Linked DNA regions of Schizosaccharomyces pombe. The protein of the gene in region 2 interacts with the protein of the main gene of each other region in a pairwise test. Each region holds a gene or a part of one and is shown on either strand. Other genes may lie near its edges.

Region 1 (4,076 bases), 1.4 Mb from region 2:
AAAGCAAAGAAGCGTGTACCAGACGACGGAAGGGGCGGCAAAGCTTTCACTTTAAGTGACAAAAAGCTACATCATGCTAACGGTTTAAAATACTCATGTTGGAAAGAAGTGGACACAATCATATGGTTCCGCGCATACCGAATGTAAAAGATGTGGGTGTGGCACACTAGTGAGGTCGATATCGGATCCCCCCACAAGGTACGAAAAAGGGTATCATGGGTAAAGCAAAGGTAGATGGAGATGGTTAGCTAGACTAAGACTTAGGAGTTAATGAGGTGGGGGAAATGAGTACTACGGGGGGGGAAGAGGTAATGTTGGGTATGTAAGTAAAGAATAATAGTAATAGTGGCTATGGAAAGTAATACAACATATACGGTGAGATGGGATGAACTGAATGAATTAGTATAAATTAAATGAACTTTAGTGAAGTTACATGAGACGGAATATAGTAAATAAAAAAAAAATAAAATAAAATAAATTTTGAAAATAAATAAATAAATTAAACTATGATGAATACATTTGTTTCCTAAAAAATATCTATTAATTTATTTATTTACATTTTACAAAGGAAGCATTGGAAAATACGAATGGTGAGAAATATGTTTAAAAGAAAAGCTTTCCATTTGAATACTTATTAGTACGAAAACGAAGTTAATGGAAAATAATAAATATAAAAAAAAAAAAAAAAAAAAAAGAATAATAACAATTTTCCTCAACTTTGCACAAGTTGTATGTATAATATACAAAGAAGTTTGGTCCGAATACCCATCATCTAAATAGCTTCTTAATAATCCCGTTCTATGCCATCTCCCCTTGACTGTCGAGATTTTCTTTTGTTTATTCTTTTTTCAATCAAGTTTTTATCTTATCGCTAGTCTTTGTACACAAGTTTTTCCTTCGCATCTGCAGTAAGCAGGAACGGAAAGGAAAAAGGGGTAAGGAACAATTAGGGTTGCTTTGAAATTTCAATGCTCAAATTCCAACATGCCGTACGGGAAATGATCGGGAAAACTTTCCGCTTTTTTAGCAATTTCAAAAGTAAAATTTACTACTTGTAACATATACGTATTGAAATTCCGCCAAACCTTCGTTACCATTTGTCTAGCCTCCGAAATCAGTAAACAAGGCAAACCGTCTATGTTCCTTAGTAAATAAAAAAAAACTGTCGCTTTGTAATATTCTTTTGTTCATTGGGTAAAGCATTTGGGGGTCTATGTATCTAAAAAGAGTTAAATTAATCTATAAAACAATTGCTTGGTTGAAAAAAACATGATTGTATTTCTCTAAATTTACGAAAAAGTTTACCTTTTTTGTCAATCCGCTAAATTTACCAACCTTATGATATTAATATGAAAACGAAACCTGAAGCGGGTTTCCAATAAACCTATCTTTTTGAGATGATTGTTATTTGCACCGACTATGAAATAAATAAACACCATCATCTATTATGCTAATTTGTGCAACATACTTAATTAACAAGTACTCTACTTAATTTAAATCATCATGAGAGAAAGTAGCAACTTGATGAATAATTTTATGTAATTATTTTGTTTTTTATTCCTATTAATATTTTGGTATTTGATGTAATCAATTCAGCTCGAATATATATTATTTTATTTTATTTTTATTATATCATCTAATTAACAATAAATATATTTCATCGAATTTTCTTACGAAGCTCGTTCATTGTTTCATTTTTTTTTTTCTTTTTTCTTTTTTTTTTTAAATTATTTGTGACGTTAGTCTGTTACACTAATACCCGTGACTTTAGAAAAAATGAGTTATAGAGGAATTATTAGATACATTATTACATCGTGTTTCGGAGAATTACAGCAAACCCCCATTAATGGTGCTCTTACTAACATTCACAGCTTTCATTCGAAAACGCATTTTTGTTTTGCCATTAACTTTTATACTAAAAAAATAGGGTAAAAGTTAGAACAAGTGAAATAAAATCAAGTGAGAAAAGGGATTATATTAAATAAAGGAAAGATTTAGACTTTAAAAAATAAAAAAATTGTATGGGTTCCATATATCGTTTTTTTTAATTAATTTACCCTAGTTTTTCAAATCATTGTACTGTAGCAGCGATTAGTACTTGCACACACCATTAAAGAAATCAAAAGTTCAGTTTTCAAACTCCAAAACTTTCAGTGCAGCGTTTTTTTTTATATAACTCTGTTTATTATATATACATAAATTTTTTGTCTTTCTTTAGTTCTTCGATTCAACCTACGCTCATAGTCTCTTTACAGACAACCTACAGCATTTTCGTCAAAACTAAAATTTTCTAACAAGTAGGGAAATAACTCAGAACATAAAATATACAAACACTTCTTATTTTTGTATAAATCGGTTCTATAACACTACTGTCTTTAGAAAAATGTTAACACAAGACGAGGTCTCCGCTCAACTGGGTCAATATATGCTCCGCGGCTATACTCTCTTGGATACCATTTGTCCGAAATGTGAAAAGGTAATTAATTTTGTATTTAGTCGTTGTTTAAACTTCAGGTGAATACAATGGCAAACGGAATGATATTAAGGAAGTCAGTTTTCTTTTCTCAAAATGCTTTTGCTACCTTGGTTTTTAAAACAAAACCAATTTTACTATTACCCTTTTTCTAACACTATTCTAGGTACCTATGATGCGACTTCGTGACAACCCTATGTTTTGTGTTTCATGTATAAACGACCTAAAGGAATCTGATGCCTCTGAACATGTAACAGTCGCTGAATCTGCTCCAAAGATAGCTTCCTTACCTATATCTAAAACAAATGATGCGGAAAGATCACAGCAAACAACAAAGGCGCCAGTTATGGAAAGAACTGAATCAAGCCATCAAGCCACTTTAAGCGTCTACTCGAGGCTTATTTCAGAGTTGGAAAGTCAGCTTGACGATCGTCTTCCTCTACCACACAATACTGAATTCCTTGACGTATCATTACAAAGAATTGAACGTATTTTAAATTTGATTTCACTTGCAAAATCGCTAATGTCGTCTTAGGTGTTTTTGTAAACAATTACAAGTCATCTATAATTACAGGGTAATTGACTTCGGTGAATATCAATTATTTAAAAGAAATACGAGATTTGCAAACGAGTTAAGTCCTTTAAGTCTGTTTCAATAAACCGCATAACTTCAAAACAACTGGCAACTATGACATTAGGAGAGTTTGTCAACATGAACCATGCATCTCACATAATTGTGTGCATCGAAAATTATACATGTAATGATTTTAAAAGAATTTGATATGTAAATACTTATTCTTGGAAAGAAAACACCTCTAATTAACTTTCTTATGTACGGAGAAGTCCATGAAAATAATAGTGTGGAATAATGAGTTGCTTTATTTTTAACAAAATTAAGTTTTTATTGCGTTAAATTCGCAAATAAAACTTGCCTACCCCTTTAGTGGCTCCTCGTAACTAAAAAGAATTTTTATATTTGTCAACTGCATATCAGTATGGCTAGAAAGAAGTCGAGAAGCTCTTCTACTCGGAAAGGTTCTTCTTTAAAGGTACCAGAAATAAAGGAGAAAGAAAAGATAAACGCAATCAATACATACGAAGATGTTGCTAATTCAGAAGATGAATTCTATAACGCACAGGATAAAATTTTGTTTGATGCTGACAACGGCGAGCAAGCAGACGAATTAGAATTAAGTGATGAAGAACTTGTGGCTTTAGAAAGTTCTAGCGATGAGGAAGATGGGAACGCCGAGGAGAATTTATCAGAAAATGAAGAGCTCTCGGGCAAAAAGAAAGACGCTGTTAATGAGGAAGAGTTATATGATAATAAAGGTTGGGGTCGCTCTGCAAAATCATATTACGGTGGGGATGATTATGACAATGAAGACTACTCTGAGGAGGACGATGAATTTGACGCACGAATGGAAGAGCAAGAAGCGTTGCGTTTACAACGTAAACGTCTTGAAAAAGTCAGCGAAACTGATGCTATTGATGATATTAGTCAATGGGCTGATAACAGTGACCTAAAATCTATAAAACAGGATTCCTCTGCTGCTGCAATTGAAGAACTTGTTCAGCAAATTTCACCTGATCTCCCTCGTAC
Region 2 (5,095 bases):
ATCGTTTTGTCATAAGAACCACTAACAAACTCTTGACCTGTCGGTGAAAAATCTACTGACATAACGGCAGAAACGTGATCCTTATAAACGTGTAATGCCCGCTTTAAATTTCGCATATCGTACATATACAAATTGTGATCCTCACTGCCAGCTACAAAATTAAATGCCTCCATTGGATTCCAAGAAATTGAATTAGTTCTCAATTTGGTAATCAATTTGGTTAACGGTGATGATGTACGGAGATCGTAAATTACGATTGATCGATCCATACCAGCTGAAGCCAAAACCGATGTTTCCGTATAGTTAAATTTGACTACCGGTAATGTATCAGCTCCCCATTCAAACTTTGTTACTGGAGTATCACGAGAATAGTCCCAAATAGATACATTTTCACCGCTAGTTGCAAATAAATCACCTCCTTTGCTAGTGTCAATATCCAAAAGAGAAGAGTCTCCCAAATACGATCTTTTAACTTTGCCATCTTGTTTATTAAGCATGTAAACATAGCGATCAGAAGCGCAAGATAAAACGTCTCCTTGATTAGAGAATACTAATCCCCTAACAATGCCTTCATGTGCCTTTGAAGTCCAGCGCTCACAACGTTCACTAGCATCCCATAGTTTTACAGCTAGAAAATGTGTTAGTGACATCCAAACTTTTTATATCCACTTATTTATCACATACCACCATCACCACTTCCACTGGCACAATCTATCAAAGTTTTTGTATCACGAGCTAATGAATAAACACCATCTTGATGTCCTCTACCCAATTGACCAAGAAAAGGGGCTGCGAACATCCTGTCCATCTTTGTAGCATTCAATGCACGTGTATACTCACGCGCACGTTCAAAAGGATGGAGCGATGGATCTAAATTCCTTTTAACAGGATCTTGATCATTAAGACGTGTCAACGAAGTACCACGGGTGATTGTTTTGACCTTCATCCTTTTTGGTTCGTTGCAAGTTTCAATTTCTAGTAGTAAGCTCTACACCTTGCAAAAATATTGGATAATGAGGTGTAGCGTAAACCATCGTATTTGAATAAACAAAAGGGCAAATACTTCAGCAATCCCTAAGATTTAGCTTTTTAAAACTCATTTCAATTATTTAAAAATTCTACTAAAAGTAATCTTATCGAACTACTAGCAAACGCCACAGGTCACAAACTTCCCATTCTTTTAAAACGTTCATTTTAATCAAAGCTAAATTTCACGAGTGCCACTGATGAATCTCAATCATATACAATTTTATTCTTCCATAAACAGTGCAACTGTCACGAGAAATTACCACTTTTCTCTCATCCAAATATTTTTTTAAGAAACCAATAAACCAGGCATGCCCAGAGTTAATGCATATCAATTTATTCGGAGTGCTTGCGTACACCAGAAACAATATCGTCTACGCGCAATAAGAGGCAAGCACTTTCAATCGCGGTCTTAATTGACTGTAATTTGACGGCTTCAGGTTCCCAAACACCGTACTCATGCATGTCGACAACTCGACCAGTTTCCCCGTCAATACCAAAGCTATGTTGACCTTCCGCATGTTTCGCGCGAAGTTCGGTAAGTGCTTTAATTGGATTGGCACCGCAATTCTGAACTAAAGTACGAGGAATGATTTCAATAGCATCTGCAACAGCTCGGTAAGGCCATTGGGCAACGCCCTCAATAGAACGTGCCTTTTCCGCAAGACGAACACTGACAGCCATCTCAGTAGCACCACCGCCAGGGGAAAGTTTAGGATGGAAGAACACATTTCTGGCTACAGCCATAGCATCCTGTAAATTGCGCTCAACCTCATTAATAATGTCTTTACTTGGTCCACGTAGTAAAATAGTACATGCCTTGGGATTTTTACAGCCTGTTAAAAAGGTATAATACTCATCACCTAATTTATCGATGTAAAATAAGCCACAGCCTGTACCTACATCCTTCTCACGTAAATCTTCAAGACGATTAACGATATTGGCACCACACGCACGAGCAATACGGTTGTTATCAGATTTACGTGTTCGACGCAGAGCAGTAATGTTAGCTTTTAACAAGTAGTGTTGAGCAAGGTCAGATACACCTTTTTCAGTGATGACAAGATCAGGTTTTACTGCAATGATATAATCACACATACGCTTGACTTGTTCTTCTTCAATTTCAAGAATACGGTTCCAATCGGTGTCTTTGGAAATTTCAATATTAGTTTGAGATTCACCTTTTCGGTACTCTAAAGGACAATCCAACAGGACAATTCTTGGATTTTCTATGCGACGACGCATTTTGGGATGTGTAACATCTTTGTTAAGCATAACACCATCTAATACGCAGCTTGACTCAATTTCACCACCTGGGACCTTTTCCACACGGGCATAACGCTTAATGTCTATTTCCATTCTACCATTTGAAGTAGAAGCAACGGTACGGACAGCACGAAGAGCAAGATGACACATCAAATCGCTCCATCTCGCAACTAATTTAGTGCCGATACATGTTCGAATAAGACGAAACATTTCAGCATTGTCATCGACATTCACGGGTAACGTTATCTCATCAATAATAGATAATGCATCTTCCAAAGCTTGTTTAAACGAGCGGATCATGACAACGGGATGAATTTTACGATCAAGCAATGGACTAGCAGCGGCCAATATTTCACCAGCCAATATAATCACCGAAGTAGTGCCATCACCAACTTCTTCATCTTGGGTTCTCGCAAGCTCAATCATGCTTTTAGCAGCCGGATGTGCGACTTCAATTTCACGTAAAATGGCATGTCCATCGTTTGTAAGCAAAACACTCCCAACTGGATCGAGCAACATTTTAAGCATAGCTCTCGGGCCTAAACATGTTCGAATAACCTATAATGTCAGCAACGTAATATATAACAAACCTCAGTTTAAAGCTTAAGAGGATGGAAAAAAACCGTACATCAGCGACAGCCTTCGCAGCTTGTATATTTGACATCTGGGCCTTGTGGCCAACCTGTCGGTTGCCATTTGTATCTTTGGTTAATTAAATTAATACCAGAAATGCAACTTACTCATAACAAACACAGGAGACTGCATGTTGGTGAAAGACAACTTCAAATTGGTAAAGGTCGTTTGTTCCTTAAAGCGAAGTATTCAAAACCCTGATAAGGATACGTTAAAATTCGCAATAATAGCAAACCGATACGCAAATTTTGTTTTGCAAATGTTATTGTATATAAAAATCAAAAAGATAACGAGATTGACCAACACAGAAGCGTTTTTATTTACTTTGAGAAAATGATTAGTTTGCTATATTTCATATTAAAATAAATTGAGGTAAATTAATAATTGAAAAAAATTGTAAAATTTGATATTAAATAAAACAAATATGAAAATACATCTGCTCTCTCATTCCCAGAACTTCGAACAAGAGAAGCAGAAGTCAAAAGTGGTAGTAATTTCATGGATTAAAGTAAAAAAAAAAGGATGTGTACAACCTATCGAAATATATACCTATACTCACAATGTACACATGAAAAATAAACACAGATATCGAGAATTAGCTTATAGAAGATAATCAATTTTTATGCAAGGTCAGAAAACACCGTATTATTTCTAACAAATCGAAAGCAATAATGGTTCAATACGTTTATGTACCACTGTGGAGGAGTGTCAAAAAAAAATCAAACCTGTAGGGTAATTCAGAAGAAATGGTAAACGATAGATGAACCGTTCGAATATATACAACGGGAAGAAAACAAGCATATATACAATCATAGAAAAAGATTTGTTTTACATGAAATATTCTAACTTTTTATGTTAGTTTTTCGAAGAACCAAACAACCAGAAACATATACTCAATGTAGTCACGCTTACCAAAGCGCACAAGGATACAGCAAGTAAATAATTTAAGGCGTAAGATTGTCAATTTGTGAAATTGTGAGTTGAATATTTGAGCGGATTTTCTCCAATTCTTGAAGGGGCATCAGAGCACTAGGTTCAGGATCCATTTTTTCGCAAGATTCAAAAAGGCGTTTTGATTCACGATCTAGCGCAGATATCATAGTAGGTAATCGGGGAAGGACCTCTGAAACTTGATTGATTTGTTGGTTCAAAACTCTCAGAGAGTCATTAAGTGTTTTATCAAACTCAGACAAAAGGTGCTGGGACGTTTCGTACAATATAGAAGGGTCATTGCTCTCAGGAAGAAGCTGATTTAATTTATCAATTGGGCTCTTGAATTTCGAGGGACCAAATTCCCCAATCCAATCCTTCTCGGGCATTGATATTTGGCGTCTTTCTTCAAGTAGCCCTCGTCTGTTTTCCTTTTCTTAGTTCTTTCCGAGATCCTTCGTTTCGGTATACTAAATTATATATTATGGTCGAGAGTGGTATAATTTTAATGAATGTCATACGCACCTCGTAATAATGTACTATTGAGCATTGTCGATCCACCTTATAACTAGATGCAGAAAGTGTGCTTAACATGGCTTTATGAATACTAACGCGGTAGCTAATCCCATTCAAGTGGTTTTGAAATTTGTATATTCGCTTTAGCAATGTCCCAAGAAAACCATGTGGATGTCCCTAGGAAAAGGATTCGGATTGACCAATCTGAGTCTTCAAGGAATTTGGAAAGAAATGGATTAGAAGATGAAGCCAACGCTCCTTCAGATTTGAGCGGTCAGAAGTTTTATATGACCGAGTCAGATGTAGGAATTGATGCGTTTTTGAATCCAAATCTTCCTTCAATCGATGGAATTATTAAAGCAAGATTCACGGATTTTGCTGTTTTTGAAGTTGATACAGATGGAAATATAGTTCACTTAACTGATATGGAAGCTCACGATCCTATCCTTTCGAAGGCAACCGGAGACAAGGAAACTGAAGACGCAAAAGATTCTTCTAATCAAGATATAAGTAATGACCAGAAAGCTCCTTCTTTTAAGGAACAAGAACCTGCTACACTGCCTATATTGCCGAATGACCTCCAAAGTATCATACCTAAGGGAATTGGTAATGAATTTATTCAATCTCTTCATAAGCTATCAGTTGGTGAAATAACTGATCCCATCTCATTAATTCTTCCCGAAAATACTCCTCCTATGGATAAAGGTCAGCGAACGATCTTACA

Evidence for each region. Proteins that work in one complex are often made in the same cells at the same time.
Region 1: the proteins of cct3 (region 2) and SPOM_SPBC3B8.08 interact in a two-hybrid assay, tested with the Schizosaccharomyces pombe proteins (one large-scale study listed by BioGRID).

Annotation. Positions count from the first base shown.
Region 1 is NC_003423.3:3,376,747-3,380,822, reverse strand, and holds SPOM_SPBC3B8.08 (uncharacterized protein), read left to right. Parts: upstream 1-2,251; 5' UTR 2,252-2,383; coding exon 2,384-2,476; exon of another isoform or gene 2,477-2,639; coding exon 2,640-3,008; 3' UTR 3,009-3,114; downstream 3,115-4,076. Other genes in the region: U3 snoRNP-associated protein Utp3, read left to right, coding at 3,469-4,076.
Region 2 is NC_003423.3:1,989,407-1,994,501, forward strand, and holds cct3 (chaperonin-containing T-complex gamma subunit Cct3), read right to left. Parts: upstream 3,071-5,095; 5' UTR 3,058-3,070; coding exon 3,033-3,057; intron 2,995-3,032; coding exon 2,921-2,994; intron 2,851-2,920; coding exon 1,363-2,850; 3' UTR 1,010-1,362; downstream 1-1,009. Other genes in the region: U3 snoRNP-associated protein Sof1, read right to left, coding at 1-628, 685-946; SPOM_SPBC1A4.11C (uncharacterized protein), read right to left, coding at 3,870-4,244; pus7 (pseudouridine synthase), read left to right, coding at 4,521-5,095. UniProt on the Schizosaccharomyces pombe protein: Molecular chaperone; assists the folding of proteins upon ATP hydrolysis. Known to play a role, in vitro, in the folding of actin and tubulin.